Linked DNA regions of Danio rerio. The protein of the gene in region 1 purifies or fractionates together with the protein of each later gene. This does not show direct contact. Links are inferred from orthologs where the notes say so. Each region holds a gene or a part of one and is shown on either strand. Other genes may lie near its edges.

The links.
Region 2: the proteins of mphosph10 (region 1) and imp4 purify together in Homo sapiens (affinity purification with mass spectrometry; 3 studies listed by BioGRID and IntAct, with this or other methods). This does not show direct contact. The link is inferred for Danio rerio from reciprocal best matches to the Homo sapiens genes MPHOSPH10 and IMP4.
Region 3: the proteins of mphosph10 (region 1) and imp3 purify together in Homo sapiens (affinity purification with mass spectrometry; 4 studies listed by BioGRID and IntAct, with this or other methods). This does not show direct contact. The link is inferred for Danio rerio from reciprocal best matches to the Homo sapiens genes MPHOSPH10 and IMP3.

The regions. Positions count from the first base shown.
Region 1 is NC_133182.1:30,739,093-30,746,914, forward strand, and holds the start of mphosph10 (U3 small nucleolar ribonucleoprotein protein MPP10), read right to left. Parts: upstream 4,792-7,822; 5' UTR 4,760-4,791; coding exon 4,677-4,759; intron 4,296-4,676; coding exon 3,605-4,295; exon of another isoform or gene 3,503-3,604; intron 3,131-3,502; exon of another isoform or gene 3,021-3,130; coding exon of another isoform or gene 2,925-3,020; coding exon 2,737-2,924; coding exon of another isoform or gene 2,736-2,736; intron 2,628-2,735; coding exon 2,447-2,627; intron 1,063-2,446; coding exon 921-1,062; intron 834-920; coding exon 766-833; intron 607-765; coding exon 469-606; intron 1-468. UniProt on the Homo sapiens protein: Component of the 60-80S U3 small nucleolar ribonucleoprotein (U3 snoRNP). Required for the early cleavages during pre-18S ribosomal RNA processing. Part of the small subunit (SSU) processome, first precursor of the small eukaryotic ribosomal subunit.
Region 2 is NC_133180.1:27,455,901-27,463,860, forward strand, and holds the start of imp4 (U3 small nucleolar ribonucleoprotein protein IMP4), read left to right. Parts: upstream 1-3,429; 5' UTR 3,430-3,497; coding exon 3,498-3,500; intron 3,501-4,266; coding exon 4,267-4,375; intron 4,376-5,623; coding exon 5,624-5,707; intron 5,708-5,785; coding exon 5,786-5,895; intron 5,896-6,051; coding exon 6,052-6,184; intron 6,185-6,279; coding exon 6,280-6,434; intron 6,435-7,608; coding exon 7,609-7,703; intron 7,704-7,782; coding exon 7,783-7,856; intron 7,857-7,960. UniProt on the Homo sapiens protein: Component of the 60-80S U3 small nucleolar ribonucleoprotein (U3 snoRNP). Required for the early cleavages during pre-18S ribosomal RNA processing. Part of the small subunit (SSU) processome, first precursor of the small eukaryotic ribosomal subunit.
Region 3 is NC_133177.1:10,330,358-10,336,313, forward strand, and holds the end of imp3 (U3 small nucleolar ribonucleoprotein protein IMP3), read right to left. Parts: intron 4,180-5,956; coding exon 4,128-4,179; intron 4,041-4,127; coding exon 3,968-4,040; intron 3,663-3,967; exon of another isoform or gene 3,362-3,662; coding exon 3,335-3,361; 3' UTR 3,077-3,334; downstream 1-3,076. UniProt on the Homo sapiens protein: Component of the 60-80S U3 small nucleolar ribonucleoprotein (U3 snoRNP). Required for the early cleavages during pre-18S ribosomal RNA processing. Part of the small subunit (SSU) processome, first precursor of the small eukaryotic ribosomal subunit.

The DNA.
Region 1 (7,822 bases):
TAACAGGCCTGACAAGATGTTTGGTATATAAACTACTGTAAAGGGCTTTAGAATAGACATGTTTTTTGCAAAGACAAAATCTAATGAAGCAGTATTACACTTATCATTTTAATGCATGAAAAGCCCTTTTCCCTTCCCTATAATCATATTCACAGAGATTGTTCCACTAAAAATGAAAATTTACTCACACTAAAGCAGTTCCAAACCTTTGAGTTCTTTCTTTGATTTGGTTATGAAAAAAGCTGAAACCTTTAACATGAAAACATTAACTTCCATAGTAAGAACAACAAATACTATGGAAGCTGATGGCAACAGGTATCTAGCTTTCTTTAAAATATCTACTTTTGTTTTCAACAGAACAACAAAACTCTGTTTTAATTTTGGAACAAATAAAAAATGGTAGAAATTTCATTTTACCTTCAGAAATATTCCTTACAGACAGGAAATGATATGATCCACTGAGCTCACCTGTGTCTGCTTGATATACTCCTGCTCATAAACCTCAGCCAGACTCAGTTTGCTCTTCTCATGATCCAGAGTGAGTCTCTTTTTATACTCAAACACCTCTTCTTTAGGCTTCTCTTTCCTGACCACATCATCCCACACCTGAGACACACAAACACAACAAAAACTGATCAGATACGGTGAGAGACATGATCTTATTCATGAAGAAGAAAATCATTTGAGGTTGTATTTAGTTAAAAGGGACAATGTGCACTAAATGTACTAATTATTTCCCCCTATTTTCTCAAGTTGTATACAAACCTGATCTTTGATTCTCTGTTTGATGATATCCTCAAGTTGTAAGGTAGTTTCCTCAGTGATTGCAGGAGCTGTGGAGAAGAGAATGCAAGTCATGCACTGATAGTATGCTTAGATTTGTTTGCTTTCTGCTGTGAACGCCCGAGTAAAGCTCTCACCCATTCGAGAGGCCTGATCAAAGGCTATGTCCTCTTCCAGCATGCTGTTCTCTGGTCGAGTCTGAGCAGTCACCTCTCCTGACAGCTGCCACGGCTTCTCTGACAACGCAGCATTTTCCAGCTCTTCAATCTGCTTCACCATCTGCAAAAAATTGATGGCAAATCAGGGTTATGGCTGACGACTAAAAATCATCAATTATTCCTTAAAAAAAGATGAAAAAATAAAGAAATGTTAGCTGAATTGTCTGAAATACATTTACATTTAGCAGACGCTTTTGTCATTAGGCAGAAGCTGTTTTTGTCCAAATAGATTTAAGTTACTAAAAATAAATAAAACATGATAAATAAAATTTAATGAAAATTATATATTCTAATCTCACTTTTATTTCAAATATCTCCCAAGAGATGACTAACAAATATTTTTGCAAACATTTTTTAACATAAAAATTAGCAATTTCTTATAACTTATTTATTTAGTCTGTGCCATGATGAGAGTACATACCATTTCACTAGTGCTTTTGCAGGGAACTAGTATTCAGCTTAAAGTAAAATTTAAAGTCTAAACTAGGCTAATTAGGTTTACTAGGCAAGCTGGGTTAAACAAGCAGGTTACTGCACAACTACTGTATCAAATTGTGGAGAGAAAAAAATGCAAGCAGCTAGTAATATTAACCTTTGCCATTTTTTTATTCCAGCCAAACTAAAAGAAAGAATATGTGAATGGGTTTAACTCAAGATTAACTCATGTAAATGTACTTTAGTTAAGTAGTTAAGTATCTTACAGTATATGTTAGTAAAGCATAGGTTTATTTATTTTTTTTTAAAAGCTCTTATGTCCAGTGTTGTGTTTGTATTAATGATTAATTGTGTAACACCCTTTTCCTGTGAGGCATGAAATTTCATTCCTCTGTATGTCCCCACATGTAGCAGAATGACAATAAATCCCTAAACACTTGATTTAAGAAAAGATGAAACTGAGTACGGCATTGTAAATAAGGTGCATTAAATGGATTGAGATTTAATACAGTGAACACTATGATACCCATTTTGTTCCGTTTTCCTTTTTTTTCTTAAATAAAAAAAAAAAAAGTTATAAAAATGGAAAACTAGAATGGGAAATAATGTCAGAAATTACCTTGCCATGTTAAACATCACTAAAAAGATTTCATTTCTCAGTAGGCCCTTTTGATCATGTCTTTAACTGTATATAAATTAAACCAAAAATTAACAAAATACAATAATAAAAGCTTGTTTTGAAAATGTACAAAATATATGAATAAACAATCATAAAACAACACTATCAAATACACTTTGAAGTTTACAGGAAAAAAGAGGAAATATTTTTTCATTTACGGTTTAAAGTCGCAATTTTTGGTTACTCATCTAATAATGGTCATTCAATTCAATCACAATCATTCAACATTATATGAAGCCGTACAACAACGCTGGACTGTAAACAACACAAAACAGAATAATTTACTGCATATATTTGTTGTAAATCATGACAGGCCTAGTATAAAGCAAACCTTTTCCTGTCGCTTTTCAAATGATGACTTAGACTCAGGTTTAGGCACATCTTTTGCTTTTCCACCTAGAATGTCTTCTACATCTTCACCCTCACTGTCATCAGGAAGGTCAAAGGTCACCCTGCGTGAACCATCTCTCACTTTGTCACCTATATCATCATCATCATCATCATCATCATCCCTAAGTGAAGAGGCAAACATTAGATCAGAATTATGAGGTAGGCTTGCTTTAACACATTATGGTAACACAAATATCACACAAACAGACAGCAGGTATCCTCAAGACTTACCTCTCCATATCAAAATCCTCCTCATTCATATCCTCTTCATCTTCCTCCTCTAGTTCATCATCATCTTGTTCTTCTCCCTCATAATCATCATTCGATTCCAGCTCTTTTTCTTCATCTGGAATAGGGTCAGGCTCTCCGTCCACAGGTGCAAAGAAATCTTTGTATTTCATATTTCTGGAGCTTTTATTCTGAAAACCAAATCCCATTGTGAGTTTTACAAAATACATCATCATAGCACAAAGTATTCTAAATAAATCAATACTGAAATTCACAGTGCTCAGCATATACACGTACACCCCTCACAAATCTCTCTTTTAAATTCATATTTTAATAGGAGGCTATACAATAATATATTTGTGCATATACATTAGATTAGTCAGTACTGAAGCCAAATCTGGAGTTTATCTAACAAAATAACTTCCGTTACTAGTACACCCAAATTTATATGTTATATAAAAATATTAAATACAAATTTAAAAGAGAAAAAAAAAAAAATCCAAGAGAAACAGAAAAATGGAAAAAAAAATTGTTGAAATTTTGCAGTTTGTATTTTTTTTTTATATTATGCTTGAACTTAATTGTATTATCTTTCAATTTCTGAATATGTTTGGTGACTAAAATATTATTTTAATTAATACATCTGTTTACTTAATCTGTTTTATTGGATAAATAAATATGGATAAAGATATTCATTTTCAAAACAGGTTGTACTCAATTATGTTGAGCACTGCATTACACAACATATCTATACAACCTAATATTAAACAACTAGAGCCCTGTAGACTGATGTAATACTGTAAAATTAAAACATAAAAAGTATCAAAATAACACAAAGAAGTATGTTACTGCTTAAAATAAACACCATTACCTTAAGTTTCTTCTTCACGACTGGTTTATCAAAGCTCAGTTCATCGTCTTCATCAGACGGCAGATCCTGAAAGTAATCAATTTCCTCCCCTTCATTCCCTTTTCCCTCTCTTTTATCCATGTCATCCAGAAAAGCCTCCATTTCTGACAGTTTAAAAAACTTGTCATCCACTTCAGACTGAGTCCAGTTCGGTTTAGATTTTGTTAACTTGCCAGCAGCAGACTGTCTCTGTTTGGTTTGTTTCTCAAATTTATCTACATCAAAGTCCAAATCGGAGTCTTCGCCAGAGAAGTCATCTTCCCCATTGCTTGTAGGTTTCAGCCTCTGTGTAGTTTCCTCCTCTGCATCTTCATCATCCTCCTCCTCAGCACTCCCTTGCTCCAAGTTATCAGCAATTTCCTCATCATCAACATCCTCCAACTCCTCTTCGTCTTCTTCAACATCATCACCTTCATCATTCAGAAATGTTATAGCATCATCAGTGACCGCCTGCTCGACTGCCTGCTCAAAGTGTGTCAGTAATGCGCTGTTCTGAAGCTCCAGCTCTTGCCATATTTGCTCCTCGTCGAAGTTTTCAACCACCAGCTGCTCCAGTGGGCTTCCTTTACAATCTGCAGGTTCGTGGGCTTTTTGCAGGTCATAAAGAGTCTTTGTAAGTGATCTGAAGTCTGTTGCCAAAACATCCTGGACACTGCAATAATAGATAAGATGATAAAATATATCATATTTTATAATAGATAAAATAGAAAAGATGACAGTAAGTTCTTCCCGGACATAGCTGTAACTTAGTTTACCGAATGACTACTGATAACGCGAATAATTTTAGCTTCAAGTTTAAAAATAAAACTCACACAGGTAATCATTCATGAACGGAGAAATTATCAACTGTGTTATTTACATTTACAGCACATGTATAACTGTGTCATTTACATTTTTAAAGCATATTTAACCTGGCAACCACAACGTGAGCGTTTTGCACATGCGTGGCCCGATACGTGTTTCATAACTTTTAAAGCAATAAAATGTTGTAACGCGTTCAGAATTTTTTTAAATCATTTAATGTGCACCGAACCTGAGAAATAGCTCCGGGTGTGACGTGTTGCTGTTTAATAACTGTAAACAGCTTTCCAGCGTGCCGCCATCCCTCGTCGCCATCTCTGCACTCACATGGGTGACGCTGAGCGTGCGCTTGGTAAACACAACCCCCCGGAAACATAAGGCATTGCATTGAGTTCCGCGCAGAAAGTTAAACTTGTCCCTTTTGCGATTTAATGAGTTACAGTATGACACAATTATGTATAAAGGTTGTGCATCTTATATGTAAATATAAAAATAAGTAATATGTTAATTTAGCGTTTATAACCAGAACGAGTATTTAAACACGTGCTTCGTTCTTTTTAAATAAAGTTTTCTCTCAGCGACCACAAAGATGGCTTCCTCTTTACTGAAGGTTGCAGGTAAATAGTAGTAAGCTGAGATGTTTTATTGCGCCTACATCTTTCCGATGAATGAGTTTATTCAGTTTGCATGTGTCTCTGTAATATCTGTCTCCCTCTCTGACAGCTTTCATGTTTGAAATCCATAATATAATTTATTATTATCGTACTATATTTATTGCATCCACATTGAGGCTGATCTCTCCTGCAGTTACAGGGCTGTCGAGGTGTGCCTGGCACACTTTACCCCCAGTGAGGGCTCTGTCTCTGACTTGTCCCGTCAGTCAAGGTGTCCCTCAGTCATTGTGGAAGTTGGGCAGGCTGAATCACGTGGCTATCGCAGTGCCAGACCTGGAGAAAGCCACAGCCCTGTACCGTGATGTGCTGGGGGCTCAAGTGAGCGACACTGTGCCTCTCCCTGAGCATGGGGTGTACACTGTGTTTGTGGAACTGGGCAACACTAAACTAGAGCTTCTGCACCCACTGGGAGAGAAAAGTCCTATTGCAGGATTCCTGCAGAAGAACAAAGCTGGAGGGATGCATCATATCTGCATTGAGGTACATCAGATTAGGGGAAATCAGTAGTTCTCTATTCTTTATAATTTGGAGGTCACCGATTTTAATACAATATTTAAAGCACCTTCTTATTGGCTGATATGTTCCCTGCTATGACAATCTTGCTTGTTTTCATAAGATTTTAATAGATACATAACATTTACCTTGATTTTGATTATGTATGTTTTTCAATAGAGCAATTAGGGCTGCATGATATTGGAGAAATCGAATATTACAATATTTTGCTCTTCTGCCATTTGTATATTGCAATATGAATACAATTTCACCTGATGATTTGAATCTTTATCTGGAAAGAATTCATAATTTTAGATTAAGATGGTTGATTCTGTAGGGTGCATCTCCATAAACAATCTACAAGCATAAATCTATTTATAAATTCTATAAATTAAATTCATTATCAATATATAAATACAGTAAGAAAAGTATACAATAGAAATAAACTGTTTTATCCTTCTCAGAGTCTAACAGTATTCAGGTACAGTAATTGAATAATACAAATGAAAAATATTTTAAATTTATTATTCATTCATTCATTTTCTTTTTGGCTTAGTCCCTTTATTAATCTGGGGTCACCACAGTGGAATGAACCGCCAACTTATCCATTATATGTTTTATGCAGCGGATGCCCTTCCAGCTGTAACCAAGTACTAGGAAACATCCATACACACTCATTCACACACATACTCTACAGACAATTTAGCTTACCCAATTCACTTATCGCGCATATCTTTGGACTGGGGGAAACTGGAGCACCCAGGGGAAACCCATGCAAACACGGGGAGATCATGCAAACTCACACAGAAATGCAAACTGACCCAGCCGAGGCTTGAACCAGTTACCTTTTCTGTGACTCTAAATTCATTATTAAAGTTACAAAATGTACAATTTCGTATGCCTGAATGCCTCAAAAACACATGCAAATGATGAATTATAATATTACAAACTCAACATCGCATAACTTGCAATGAAACTATTGAGTGATCACATTGCAGTATCAATGCTGAAACAATATATTGTGCAGCCCTTAGAACAGTTATTAAATGTATTGCTTTTTATTTTAGTTTACTAAATTTGTAAGCTTTTTGCATTTTGAAGAACTAAAGTGTCAGATATACATTTTTAGTAGTGAAACTTGTTTTTGGCTTCTCTCAAAATTTGCAAACAGACATGCCGGTAAAATCTTGTTGGAGTCATGTATCATACTAATTTACAATGTACATTGAATATGCATAACCTAGGTTAAAAACACATTGCATATTTAAAATAGTTTTTAGAATGAATGTGAAATAACAGAATGCAGTATTAAATAATTAATGTGCTAATTCATGCATTTACAACTTTACAACATAAAACTAACATAAATTATGGCAGTTATCATAAAAGAAAAAAAAGAAAGAAAAAATAATACAAATCCAGAAACCGTCTTTTTTGTGTTGTGTCTTCTAACCTTTTTAAGCTTTTTAGAAACGAATCAGTTTACTTGTTAACAGAAAACATACAGGAACTATCATGAACCTTAAACTTCTCTAAAAAGTATTGTGTTGCCCATTTGATTGCAGGTGGATGATATCAATGCAGCAATAGTTGATTTGAAGGAAAAGAAAATCCGCCTGCTCTCCCCAGAGCCACGGATAGGAGCTCATGGCAAACCTGTGATGTTCCTCCACCCTAAAGACTGTGATGGGGTACTTGTTGAGATAGAACAGGCCTAGATAATAAACATTGATATTTCTGTCTTGCAAACCAGTGACTTTGATTCGACTGTTGAGTTCTACATCTTAATGTATTAAGTGATATATGCAAAGATTTTCAGACAATTCCAGAACCTATTATTGTAACCTGTTACGGTGTATTTGACATTTATGATAATTATGTATTTATTCCTAACTGATGATTTTCTTCAATGACTTGAATAAATGGTTAATTTCATAATTTAAAAGAGTAATTTAGTGTGTAACATTTATAAATAATATTTGTATTTACGCTTGGGGGGGGGGGGGGGTGCAATATATGTTTTAGATAAAAAAAAACACTACTTACTGTCAGAACAAAGAAACAAGCTAAATGAAATCCATTTTAAATACTGTAAAACAGCAGATAAACTTGGCCAAGTTTATTAATGTGAATTAAAATCCTAGCAAGCTTCTCATCTGACTCTCAATGGAGTAGACAGATTGAAGCTTTCTTTTTAGTTTTTTGGCTGACA
Region 2 (7,960 bases), on another chromosome or scaffold:
CCACATTTCTAGAACTGCTCGATCGTGCAGATTTGCACTCTATAACATCAGAAAGATCCGACCCTTCTTATCTGAACATGCAGCTCAACTCCTTGTTCAAGCTCTTGTTCTCTCCAAACTGGATTACTGCAACTCTCTACTAGCTGGGCTTCCAGCTAACTCTATCAAGCCTCTTCAACTGCTCCAGAATGCAGCAGCACGAGTTGTCTTCAATGAACCTAAACGAGCACATGTCACTCCGCTGCTAGTCCGTTTGCACTGGCTGCCAGTTGCTGCTCGCATCAAATTCAAAACTCTGATGTTTGCCTACAAAGTGACTTCTGGCCTAGCACCTTCTTATCTGCACTCACTTCTGCAGATCTATGTGCCCTCCAGAAACTTGCGTTCTGTGAATGAACGTCGCCTCGTGGTTCCATCCCAAAGAGGGAAAAAATCACTTTCGCGAACGCTCACGCTCAATCTGCCCAGTTGGTGGAATGAACTCCCTAACTGCATCAGAACAGCAGAGTCACTCGCTATTTTTCAAGAAACGACTAAAAACTCAACTATTTAGTCTCCACTTCACTTCCTAAGCTGCAATTGCCTCTTTGAATATCACACTAATTGTACAAAAAAAAAAAAAAAAAAAAAAAAAAAAAAAAAAAAACACTTCCCTTCTTAGACTTTACAGACCTGAAACTTGCCTTTAGTACTTATTCATTGTTGCTCTTAGTTGTGTAAATTGCTTCCTTGTCCTCATTTGTAAGTCGCTTTGGATAAAAGCGTCTGCTAAATGACTAAATGTAAATGTAAATGTAAATGTTCTCAATTCCAGTCTTTGGGCCTGCACACTTTGTATGTCTCTCTTATTTAACACACACAAGGATCAATTCATGGATTCTCTGCTAATGAGTTGATGATCTGAATCAGGTGTTTTAAGTAAGCAAGACATGCAAAATGTGCAGGGTGAGGGGATCCAGGAACCGGAAATAAGAACCACTGGCTTAGATAATCTAGATTAGCCTACATGTAATCCGTAACTACCCAGCTCAAAGTAGTAAGTAAACAAACACAAGATAGATGCAAAGACAAGATTTCTTGGCAAACTGACATCAAAGGTGTTTGTGCAGCATGATGTTGTGGGAAAAAACTATTTCCTCCATTTTGATCTTATTGCCATGTCTACCGCAGACACCACTGGAACCACATGACTACCGAAACTAGTATTGAGACTTTCTTTGACGGTCAAAAACATAGAAAAATAGCCTATTTTTATCTTTGATGCGAAACTCTTAATAACATTATGTGTATCTCAAAGATCATTATAAGTTGAATTATAAATTATAAACATCAACTAGTGTGCAGCATAAATGTGTACACCCAATTTTGAAAATTAATGTTTTTGTCCATTTCTCAGTGAATATAGGCAATGCATTTGGGTGCATTTAAACCAAACAAATTTATTTATTAAAATAATTTTTTAGTCACCAAACATATTCAGAAATTGCAAGATAATGCAATTGAAAAAAAATCTACAAAATATGCATTTTTCCCTTTTTTTCTTCTCTTGACTTTTCCTCTTTTTAAAATTTGTATTTATTATTTTTCTAAAACGTATAAATTTAAATGTACAAATTTTTGGACCGTTAAGTTAATTTGTTAGATCAGCTTCAGATTTGGCTTCAGTTCTGACTAATCTAATGCACACATATAATATTGTACAGCTTTCTACTAAAGATATGCATTTAAAAGAGATTTGTGAAGGTTGTGCTACTGTACTTATATATGCTGAGCACTGAATGTTTCAACTACTATTTTGTCAATCAATATGGCAAGCCATTTTAACATAAATACTCTTACATAAATGCTGTATAGTCATAATTTTATTTTTGACTAGTCCAAATTCCAATATAATTTCCAAAAATCTATTTTATATTTTTGACTTGTTTTAACTGGAATAAAGATATCTACAATGTGGTTATGACTAAGGCGCGTTATGTGCATTAAATATGTCTACAGCGTTATTGTGACTAGTCCTAAATATACTTTTGGGATATTTCAAATTCTAATTTTACTAGCAGTAATAAAATGCTGCTAGTAACTATTTTATTTTTAGATATCTCTAGTGTTTGACTTGTCATTACCAAACTAGAGATATTTAATTTAATTTACCATATTCAAGAGATATCCAAAATACAATTACAATAATTTAGCACTAGTCAAATTACTTTTATATCATGAATTGGACCTTTGGAACCAGCTAAATGTAAATAGGAACCATTTAATGTAAATAAAATTGAAATTCTTCTTAGTCAAAACTCATTTAAAGATATCTCTAGTTTTATTATATAGCTCAGTCTGGTGAGCTGATATCTGCATTCAACTTTGTGACTTTGAATAAAGTCATGTAGTTATATGTTATATTAACATTCTGACTATTCAAAATCATTTTATGGATACCTAAATGATCTTTTTGCACAGCAAGTTCCAGCCACCATAAACCTGTAGTAAATGGTCAATGTGATTCATGAATTTCATACAGACCCATTTGTATTTAATTTAATCAGATTACAGTCATTAAAATAGACTGCAGCATTAATTTAATTGTTCAGGTGTAAAACAAGATGACAAGACACAGTACGGGAGCACAGAAACTCCATTGAAAATACTATGGTAAATTAAATTTCTAAGCAAGACACAGAACAATGGAGTTTAAAACAGTGCTTCTTATCCGGTCTGAGATTCACTTTCTATCGTACAGTATATCAATCAGGCAGTGAATTTGATTTTTAAATAAAACAGATCTTAAACTCTGCGATTTTGTAATGGCAGTTGACATAACAGTTCACCGGAAGTGTTTGAGGTGGCTTACTGAAAATTAAAAGTCCATGACGAGGTATATTTTCGAAATATGAATGAATTTTTTTTACAGTATATTTAATGGAGAGCTGAGGTAATCACGTCGCAGAACGATTTGTACTAGGAGCAAATTCAGATATCTCTAAATATATTTGAGATCAGTCAAAACCAATTTCAAGAATTTTCTTTTTACCTTTGAGGATGTATGATGTCAAATAATATCTATGTCATATGCCAGAGTAGTTGATGGTTCATTCTGCTGCGACCCTGATAAATCAAGGATTAAGCCAAAAGAAATGAATAAATTATTAAAAATGTAAAAACAATTAAATAAATAATAGCTTTCCCAAATATAATCAAAATACATTTACAGGCCTATGTGGAATCTGTTTTCTTACTAGAACATTTATGATTGCAGATTTCTCCAATTGTCATTCGGACTAGTCGGATTATAACATCGTACGTCACAATGCAATCGTTCCGAAATACCTTCATTGGTCAGAACAAAGCTTTGTTTAAGCTAAAACGGCTTGCCATAACTTTATTTGTATTGTGCCGAGAACTTTTATTTTGAAAGACCGCGTCATGCTTGCTTGTTGTCTAACAGGAAGTCGTGATTGTAGACCGTGAGGCAGAATTGTCACGTGTAGTTTCTCAAAATGGTTAGTACAACTTAAATATAATGTATTTATTTTATTAGACATGTTTGAGTTTCGCATTAAATTCATTTAATCCGTTTTTCCTCTCGCGCTTCATACATAAGGGGTTTATGATGCCAATATTGTGGCTTTTTACTTGTGTTATAGTGTGATCAAGCTCTAACTTACAATGAAGAATGATCAGTATATAAACCTAACGTTATATTAAAAGTAGGATTTTGTTCCCTACCCAGTGTAAAAATCGGTACAGTTATTTATTCATGTTAATTGATTCCCTAAAAGTAAACTTAATTTTTTTTTCAATTGTTCTATAATTGTAGCATAACGTTAACGTTAATTGTCTTAAAATATTTGCCAATAATATACTCTCTGTGAAGATCATTATATATTGTGACATGAGCATATACAGTAGCTATATTTGGTCTTGATAGCTACATTGCTTGCTTTTTATCTAATGCAGTCCAATTTTGCAGTAAGCATTTCATGCATATGATTTCCCATTAAGCACTATATTCAACTGGGACAATTTCAATAGATCAAGTGAGACCTAGCTTTATGTTAAAGTGTAATTTTATTTAAAATCAAAATTGTCCTTTTTAACTTGCTATTTATCAAAGAATCCTGCAAGTCTTGTAGTTTCCTCAAATTCATTTCAGCAGCACATCAGTTTTTTTTTTTTTTGGTTGAAATGTTTTTCAGCATATTAGAATAGTTTCAGGATCATGTGACGATGAATTAATTTTATTTTAATTGTTTCTTTTGCCCATAGCTGCGACGGGAAGTGAGACTGAGGAAGGAATACCTGTACAGGAAAGCCCAGGAGGACAGACTGCGCACTATTGAAGAGAAAAAACAGAAGCTCAAGTCTGCTTTAGATGGTCAGTTTCCAGCAGTAAATAGCTTGTCTAGGGATGCAACGATTTTAGATTTTGGTTGTACGATTATAGTCTGAGGAATAATCACACATTCACGGTTATCACAATTATTATGCGTTCATTAATATTAAAACACTACTAGTTTAGAAAATCACATGGACTCCTTATATTTTAAAGTGTTGTTTACTGCTGCTCAGTAAACAATTAATACAACACAAAATAATAATAAAAAACAAACAATTGTCCATTTCTTTTTGGACTTATAAAAGAAAAAAATAATAAAAAATAAATAAAAGAAAAAAAGATTTTGACTTTTAAACATAAGTAATAATTTTACACTAATAATAAATGACAGAACAATAAATAAATAAATTAAAATAAGAATAAATAGAAAAAAAAGGATTTGTCCAATGTAAATCTTAGCTACATATTAGCTCAGTGTTTCCCTTTTAAAGAAAATAAATGTAGTCAAAGGCTGCTGAGCCTCAGTCTGAAAGACGCTTTTAATCAACTATATTATGAACTTTTATTGTATTTCATTTTGTTCTCCTTGTAGTAGAAATGTGTATATTCCATACATATTATAAAGCTGACTGGTCTGTTCTTGACTGGTCTAGTGACTTGCAGTGCACTAGCGCCGTTCTTTCAACTAGGTGTGCCTGGAAATTGTAAGCCCATTGCTGTCAATATGTGCGCAAGAAAAGAAAAAATGAACTTTCTGCCCCAAAAGGTGCGATATGTGAATAACCGTTAGTTAACCTCAGCCATAGTTAAAGGTTCCCGAAACCGCTGAATACTTTTTTGAGATTTTAACAGAATTGTGTGTGTTGAGCATCAGTTAAGACAATGTTAGCACCTGTCAGCTTTTATTGTGAGGAAAACTGGATAACTTTGAGCTTTTGTCGGCTAATTTCAGCTTCCGGGTTTAAAATGATTTTTGGTGCGGGATCAAAATCGGAGACATTGTGCAAAACTGCAAGTGCAAAGATGACACGTTGGTTTCTCATTATTATTCATAGCTGAGTTTTCTTATCCTATGAGAAGAGACTGCTTCTTAATGATTCATGACTGTTGGCATAACTTTTTGTTGAAGCAGTTTTGTTCCGTGCTGAAACGCGGTGTTGAGAAGCCTTTACGATTAATTAACCGTGACGAATTAAAGCGCAGTTGATAGTGAAATCGGTTAATCGTTGCATCTCTAAGCTTGTCTAATGTATTTTGAAATTGTCATATTTTAAACTTCTCTTGCAGAAAATCGTCTGTTACCTACTGAGGTTCGAAAAGAGGCATTAGAAGTACAGAAACTCTTGGAGTTCGATGATGAGGGTGGAGAAGGTGACTTTTTCTCTCACGTATATCAGAATTGAGTTTCATCTCTTACTGTATTTAAACCTATTTATTACATTATTTAAGGTGTTAGTTCTCATATGGATGATGAGTACAAGTGGGCAGGAGTGGAAGACCCCAAAATTATGGTTACAACATCCAGAGACCCCAGCTCCAGACTCAAGATGTTTGCCAAAGTATGTTAAATCGTATTATTCACATTTGACACGCATGAGGAAGTACTATGGTTTAAAACACTTGTACTTATGCAGGTGTTTTGCATATAGTGACGTATAGGAAACCAATATCTACAGACTGTGGTTTATTTAGGTATTTTTTGTTTTGTTTGACAGGAAATGAAGCTAATGTTTCCGGGGGCCCAGCGTATGAACAGAGGAAACCATGAAGTTAAAACTTTAGTACATGCGTGCAAATCTAATAATGTCACTGATCTTGTTATAGTTCATGAGACCAGAGGTCAGCCAGGTATGGGCTTTTATGCTGTATCGTACTTGTAAGTCTACTTTCATATCCCTCTTGCAGTTTTTGCTCAAGGTATTTATGTCTTCTTGTTCTTTTAGATGGATTGGTGGTGTGTCACCTTCCTTTTGGGCCAACAGCCTACTTTACCATGTATAATGTGGTAATGAGACATGATGTTCCAGACATTGGCACCATGTCCGAAGCCTACCCTCACCTCATCTTCCACAACTTCACATCACGTCTTGGACGAAGAGTGAGTTGTACACCCTGAGAAATGATAATAAAATGAGTTTCTCATCTGCATAGCCGTTCAAATGTTTGGGATCTGTATGATTCCAAGAAAATGAATACTTTCAAACCTTTATGACTTTCTGCCTTCTGTTGGACACTAAGGAAGATATTTTGAAGAAAGCTGAAAACCAGTAACCATTGACTTCCATAGCAGGAAAAACAAAAACTATGAACGTCAGTGATTTCAGATTTTATTTAAAATATCTTATTTTGTGTTAAACAGAAGAAACTACGATGGAAACACTTTAAAGGAACAAATTCCAGTATGCGCATTAAAGTCATGTGATTTTATGATAAGAGATCATGTGATGATAAAAATGTGTGTGAATGGATAAATAAGGAAAGCTGACCACATTGTAAAACATCTGCAATGTTGTTGTGGTCATTCTAAAATATCTTAACCATTTCAGTTTTAGTGTTGTTATATTATTAATTACATACAGAACTGCCAATTGCATCTCTGCTCCACGTCTCATGCCTTTAAACGCCACCACATGGCAATTGCATGTTGGCATTTGTCTTCTGAGGTGCAAGTCATTTATTAAATCAAGAAAAGATTGATGCAGCTTCTCCTACTGCAGCAAATTTTGTTTTTACTGTTGATATTTGAAATATCAGTTAATGCCAGTTCAGGAAGCGACGATTTTATTCTCTTTGACTCACTGGATGAAAACGCTGCTTTTGCTCATAAATTTAATTAGCATCATTGAAGGGAAACTGGCTAATGAAGACTAAAAATTTAGCTTTAAAAATCAAAGTACTAAACTTCAGTTTAAAATATATTAAAACCGTTATTTTAGTTGCTTTTGTAGTAACATTTCTATTGTATGTGTAATAACATTTAACTGTATTTGTGATTTAAATGAATACAGCTCTTTAAAACGACCCCAAACTTTAAAAAAGCTATGTTATATGTTCTATTCTATTTATATTTTAAATAAACAAATATCATTAATGTCTTGATTATTGTAATGATACACAGTTGTCAACATTTGAAGTGGACCTTAATTTTTTAAAAGTCTTAATTTTGATAAACTTTTTAGATCCACTTCGTATGCTGTAGTCTAGGCTCAATCGAAGGTCATGCACATTACAATAAGCTTTGTAATGTGAATTATTATTTGTTTTTTTTTTAGGTGTCCAACATTCTAAAGTATCTGTTCCCTGTACCCAAAGAGGATAGCAGACGTGTTATTACGTTCGCAAACACAGATGATTACATCTCTTTCAGGTGAGTTGTGCTTTAACTGCTGTATCAATGATTCTGAGCAAAATAAACATAACGACTGTGGAATTACTTAATGTTGCAGACACCACACTTACAAGAAAACTGATCACAAGAACGTTGAGTTGACAGAAGTTGGACCTAGGTTTGAAATGAAATGTAAGGAACTTTTTTTTTGCGTGTGTGTGTAAATTTGTTTGTATTTGTGCAAAATGGACACTTGTGTTGCACATTGCTCATCTTGAATTAATATCATGTATTTA
Region 3 (5,956 bases), on another chromosome or scaffold:
ATTGTGTTATAAGAAATCATGTGATGATGAAAATGTGTGTGAGCGGATAAACCAGCAGGCTGAGCACACAGTAAAACGTCTGAAATGCCATTGATCATTCTAAAATGCTTTAACCATTTCAGTATCCATGTTAAAATAATATAATTACCTCCATAATCAAGAATGTCTGTGTTCCACGTCTGACGTTTTCTAACAGCTTTCACTGCGTGTCAGGATTGCCTTCTGAGCTGCAAGTCATTTATTAAATAAAGAAAAGATTGACGTAGCTTCTCATATTGCTGCAAATTCCGTTTCTACCATTAGTTACCGCTAGTTAATCAGGAACTGACGATTTTGTTCACTTTGACTCGTTGGATAGAAACGCTGCTTTATTCGCTTGTCTTTTATGCGATTATCGAGTTTTGCACTTAAAGTTTAGTCACATTTTTGGATGGAAACATAGCTACTGACATCACCATACCACGTAATCAGAAGGAAGAACCCCTCACATAAAAACCAGTGTCCAAACATTGCAACCCACTCATCTGATTATGCAACACTGTAGTTTAAACAGTTCCAAAGTTGGAATTAGAGTAGGTTAGGAAAATATTACACTACTCACTAGCACCGTCTGATGAGTAGCATATTTTGTCATCAAGATATGCTAACTAATTTTTGTATTGTGGCAGTAGAGATGCCACCATACTCAAAATGATATTGAACCATTCTGTAAAACCCTCCACTGTTCAATACGCATATTTAAATTGTTTAAAAGTTTTGCATTTAAATTTAAAAATGGCATTTCCCCATTCCTTTAGTTACTCTCTAAACTGGCTTTGCATGTATTTGAATGTAGTAAACATCCACTAAACTTTTTCACTGTCCTCAGGTCCAGTCATTCACACCATTATTAGACTATTGCCCTAGTTTTGACAGCGTGCTAATGCACGTAAAACCAGACGCACACACTTCTCGTCACTATCAGTGTTTAAACTCATAAACCTTTTTTTAATCAACATTGAACCTCATAGCGTGAAGAGGACTTGCGCTCGAGATTTGAGAAGACCTTATCTAAAAGGGTGAATGAATGTTACAACTCTCAAATTAGGTCCTGATTCTGACTGATGAAACTGTTTGTGTGAATTCAACGCAAGTCTTCGTACATGAGGCCCCAGATCCTGAAATGAACAGTGAGGAAAGAGCTGATATTATAGTATACTTTGTTCACTTTGAACAACAAAAAAAATATTCACAGCATATCTAAAATCATTTGAAGCCATGAATGCCTGTTAATAAACCACTTAGTGTTACAGTTCAGTACTCTACGGTAGACATTCATTTCTGTCTCCACTTTCAAAAGTACTAAAATAACAAACCCATAACAATTTTTTTGCGACTTCTTCATAACTGTGCATGGCACAACAGTATGGTAACAAAAAGGTGGAGCTAGACTTGCCAATGAATGCCACTGGTTTACAGAGAATTGTCACTTGCATGTGCAACAAGCCATAACAATCACATCTAAATATGTACAAAGCGGACCACTTTCTTCCTCTATTTGCTGCTCGTCTGCATTTGAAATAATGAAATTGAGTGCAGAGAAGGCAATCTGTACACGGCTTGATGTATGTGAGTGAGAATGACATTATTGTTTGCAACACCAAGTAAAAAGATTCTCTTGGCAGTGGGAATGCAAGGCTGATCAGGTTGACCTATATCGAATCGTACTGTACCTTACCTTATGATACTCAGTGGAATCAAGGCATTAGAATACCCCTACAATGAAAGCAAAATATGTTCCTAAATGATAGTTTGAGCAGATAATCAGAGTCAGTTATTCTATGACCCTTTCTGTAAACTAAATGAATGGAATTTTGAATGAATCTTCAGAATTATTTAGTGAATCGCTCAGACAAGGACTTGGACACTTGGTGAAGGTACAGTGCTCAGCATATTTGAGCACACCCCTCACAAATCTCTCTTTTAAAGTCATGTTTTAACAGGAAGCTCTACAATATTATATTTAAGCATATACATTAGATTAGTCAGTACTGAAGCCAAATCTGGAGCTTATCTATCAAATAACTTGCGCTAACGCTCCAAAAACACCCAAAGTTTTTGTTATAGAAAATATTAAATACAAATTTTAAAAATTAGGGAAAATCAAGAGAAGGAAAATAAATCAAAAAATTTACTTAAAATTTTGTAGGTTGTATTTTTATTTTTTAAATTTTGCTTGAATTTAATTGTATTATCTTTCAATTTCTAAAGGTGCTCGGTGACTAAAATGGTATTTTAATAAATATATCTGTTTAACAAACATGTTTCGTTTAAATGCACCAAAACACAGTCTATATTCACTGAGAATTAGATTAAAATATTCATTTTCAAAATGGGGTGTACTCTATTATGCAGACCACAATGATAATCGATCCATTACTAGGTTTAAATCAGCAAAATTACCAGCGCACAACACCAGAATAATTGATAATTATAGAAAAACAATATTAAAATACGTTTCAATCCTTATCTTTAATATATTTTATAAGAAAAATCTTGAGTTTTTCTTCTATTGGATAGATGTAAAGTGGCATTTAAGGGTACTGGTATGAGCAGATTACTCTTTGCATTTGTTTAAGTATAACAGTATTTTGAAATGCTTTGAAATAATGTCTTTTTTTTTCCCTTCCTGTAGCCTTGGATTCCAAAGCAAGTAATCTGTCCAGTCTGTCTAAGAAGTACCGCAGTGATGCCAAATATCTGAACACCCGGTCTACCTACGCTAAAGTGGCTGCCGGCGCAGTCATTATCATCACACTCATCATTTACGTGCGCTTCTGGTGGCTGTGAAATACACGGAACAAATTCAAGCAGAAACTCTCAGGGCCTTGCTCACAAAAAAAAAAATGGTTCGGACACCAAATAGTCTGTTCTGGCCTTAAAGTTGTGTCTGTTTTGACATACTGAATGCAGGTTAGTGAGGGTTTGTAATGATGATGTCCTTCCTTATTTATAACATGTCAGTGGAAGGAGTTAAAGATGCGTGTGTTGCCTTGTATGTCTCCTGTATGTTGGAAACAGAGCTATGCAAATTATATTTGGTATACCTTGTGGGTTAAGTTGTGATTTATTTGTAAAATGTGAAGGTAGTTTTTTAGAAACAACTAAATTCTGGAAAAAAAAGTTTTGTTTACAAATGATGCACAATAACAAAAATCAAATACATTTACTCACTTTTTCAAGAATGATAAATGCTCGCTTCTGTGGAGCAGGAAATAAATATGTATCTGTGCATTATTAAAGAATCACAAGTGAATTTCTGGATGAAATCCAAATTTTCATTTCACTTGGAGATTTAGGCCATGAGGTCAAAGTCATCGCGCTGAAAGAAAAAAAAAAATTGTAACTTTAACAAACAAGCGATTAGTTCAAATGTTTTGTATTCATTTAACCAGCATCAATGTGATCATAGAAACGGCAGCATTCATTCAAACTGGGAGAAATGTGTTAAATAAACGTGAAAATATTTTCCTGAATGCATTTCATTATTAAACGTTTTGCATACACTGATCAAAATTGGAGGTATTTTATTTAAAACATCGGCTATATATTTTTGTTAACCGATTAAATTGTAAACTATTTGACTAAAATATTCAATAAAGAATATTCATATTTCTAATTAATGCTGTTCGTTTTTATCGAAAAATTGTGAAATGTCCAGCACAATATTAATAGTTTCTTAATCATCAAAAGCATACTAAAATGAATTCTGAAATTAAAAAAGTAATGATGCTACAAATTCAGCTTTGCCATCATCAAAGTAAATTCAATTTGTAAAACATTTCAATACAAAAGCTTTACTTTAATTTGTAATACTCGTTTCAATAGTTACAATTTTAAAAAGTATTTTAAAAACAGCCTTGGTGAGTGTAATCGACTTGATATTGAACTCTAGTGTATGATCATTTATTCATGTATTGTGACGTACCTCCTCATTGTAGTTCATGACATGTTGTTTGATCTTGGAGGAATCCACCCATGTGACAAAATCTTCCATATTTCTGTGAAAATATTGCACAACAAAAGTTGCCAAAGATTCACATAATTTAACTTTTTTCTTTTATCTTTCTTTCTTTCAATGGACAAACCTTGTTACAAGAAATGCAGGATCAGTGATGACTTCTGGCCCAACACGAATATCTGTTGCTCAGTCAAGATGCATTTTCATTGACAATTATACAGAGTGACAAGGGCTTGATGTTTTTTTGAGCATACAGTTTACAATCAGAGCACTTTAGGTATATTAATGTAATCTCAGCCATAACGGTGTCCATAAAACATGTAACGTGTCCTCATATACTCGAAGCAAAGGTTTGAAATTACCAGAGCATTGATAAACTGTTAGAGAACACCTTAAAACTGCCCATAGAGTAGTGTTTGAATGAATTTGTAAATATGTGCTGTAAAATGTTCTCTCAATGGCTAAAACAGACACACACAGACTAAATCAGCGGTGAGAAAACATAAGCAGTATTAATAGCAGACTTAAAGTGCTGGTTTACATTGGGCCACTTCATGCATTTTCTCAGACGGCTATCTTGATTTCTGAAAATGGTCCCATTTACATTTGACCACATGAATCCACTAACAACTCAAACTGTCACCTGTGGCTTTAGGTTGCGTGTGCATCATATAGGCAAAAACATGTGCGCTCTCATGTTTATTTAAAATTGATATATACACTCACTGGCCACTTTATTAGGTACACCTTACTAGTACAAGATTGGACCCCCTTTACCCCGCAGAACTGCCTTAATGCTTTGTGGCATATATTTAAGGTACTGGAAATATTCCTTAGAGTTTTTGGTCATATTGACATGAATGCATCATGCAGTTGCTGCAGATTTGTTGGCTGCACATTCCTGATGTGAATCTCAGGTTTCACCACATCCCAAAGGAGCTCTATTGGATTGAGTTCTGGTGACTGTGGAGGCCATTCGAGTACAGTAAACTCATTGTCATGAAAGCAGTCTGAGATGATTTGATTTGCACTTTGACATGACGTGTTATCCTGCTGGAAGTAGCCATCAGAAGATGGGTACACTGTGGTCATAAAGGGATGGACATGGTCATCAAAATTACTCCTTATGTAGGGTGTGGCGTTGACAATGCTCAATTGGTAGTAATGGGCCCAAAATGTGCCAAGAAAACATCTACTACATCATTACACCACCACCACAACCACCACCAGCCTGAACCGTTGATACAAGACAGGATGGATTCATGCTTTCATGTTGTTAAAGCCAAATTCTGACCCTACCATCTGAATGTCACAGCAGAAAGACCAGAGCAATGTTTTTCCAATCTATTGTGTTATTTTGGTGAGCTGTGCAAATTGTAGCCTCATCTTACTGGTCTTAGCAGCCAGTAGTAACACTCTGTGTGGCCTTCTGCTGCTGTAACCTCTCCGCCTCAAGGTTGGACATGTTGTGCATTCAGATATGCTCTTGGGCAGACCTCTGTTGTAATGAGTGGTTTTTTGAGTTACTGTACTCCTGATATTTGCTCTTTTTCATGCCATTCTCTGTAAATCCTAGAGATGGTTGTGTGTAATAATCAGCTTAGATCAGCAGTTTCTGAAATACTCAGACCAGCCCGTCAGGTACCAACAGTCACACCACGTTCAAGCCACTTAAATTACCTTTCTTTGCCATTCTGATGCTCGGTTTGAACTGCAGCAGATTGTCTTGACCATGTCTACATGCCTAAATGGATTGAGTTGCTGCCATGTGATTGGCTGATTAGAAATCTGCGTCAATGAGCAGTTGGACAGGTGTACCTAATAAAGAGGCCAGTTCCATAAACCAAGCTAAGTAATGTAAACATTTGCCTGCGGTAATTTGATGCTATTTTATTTTACTTAACCTTTTAATTATAATTAAAATTTTAGTCACTTAATATTAAATATATATACACT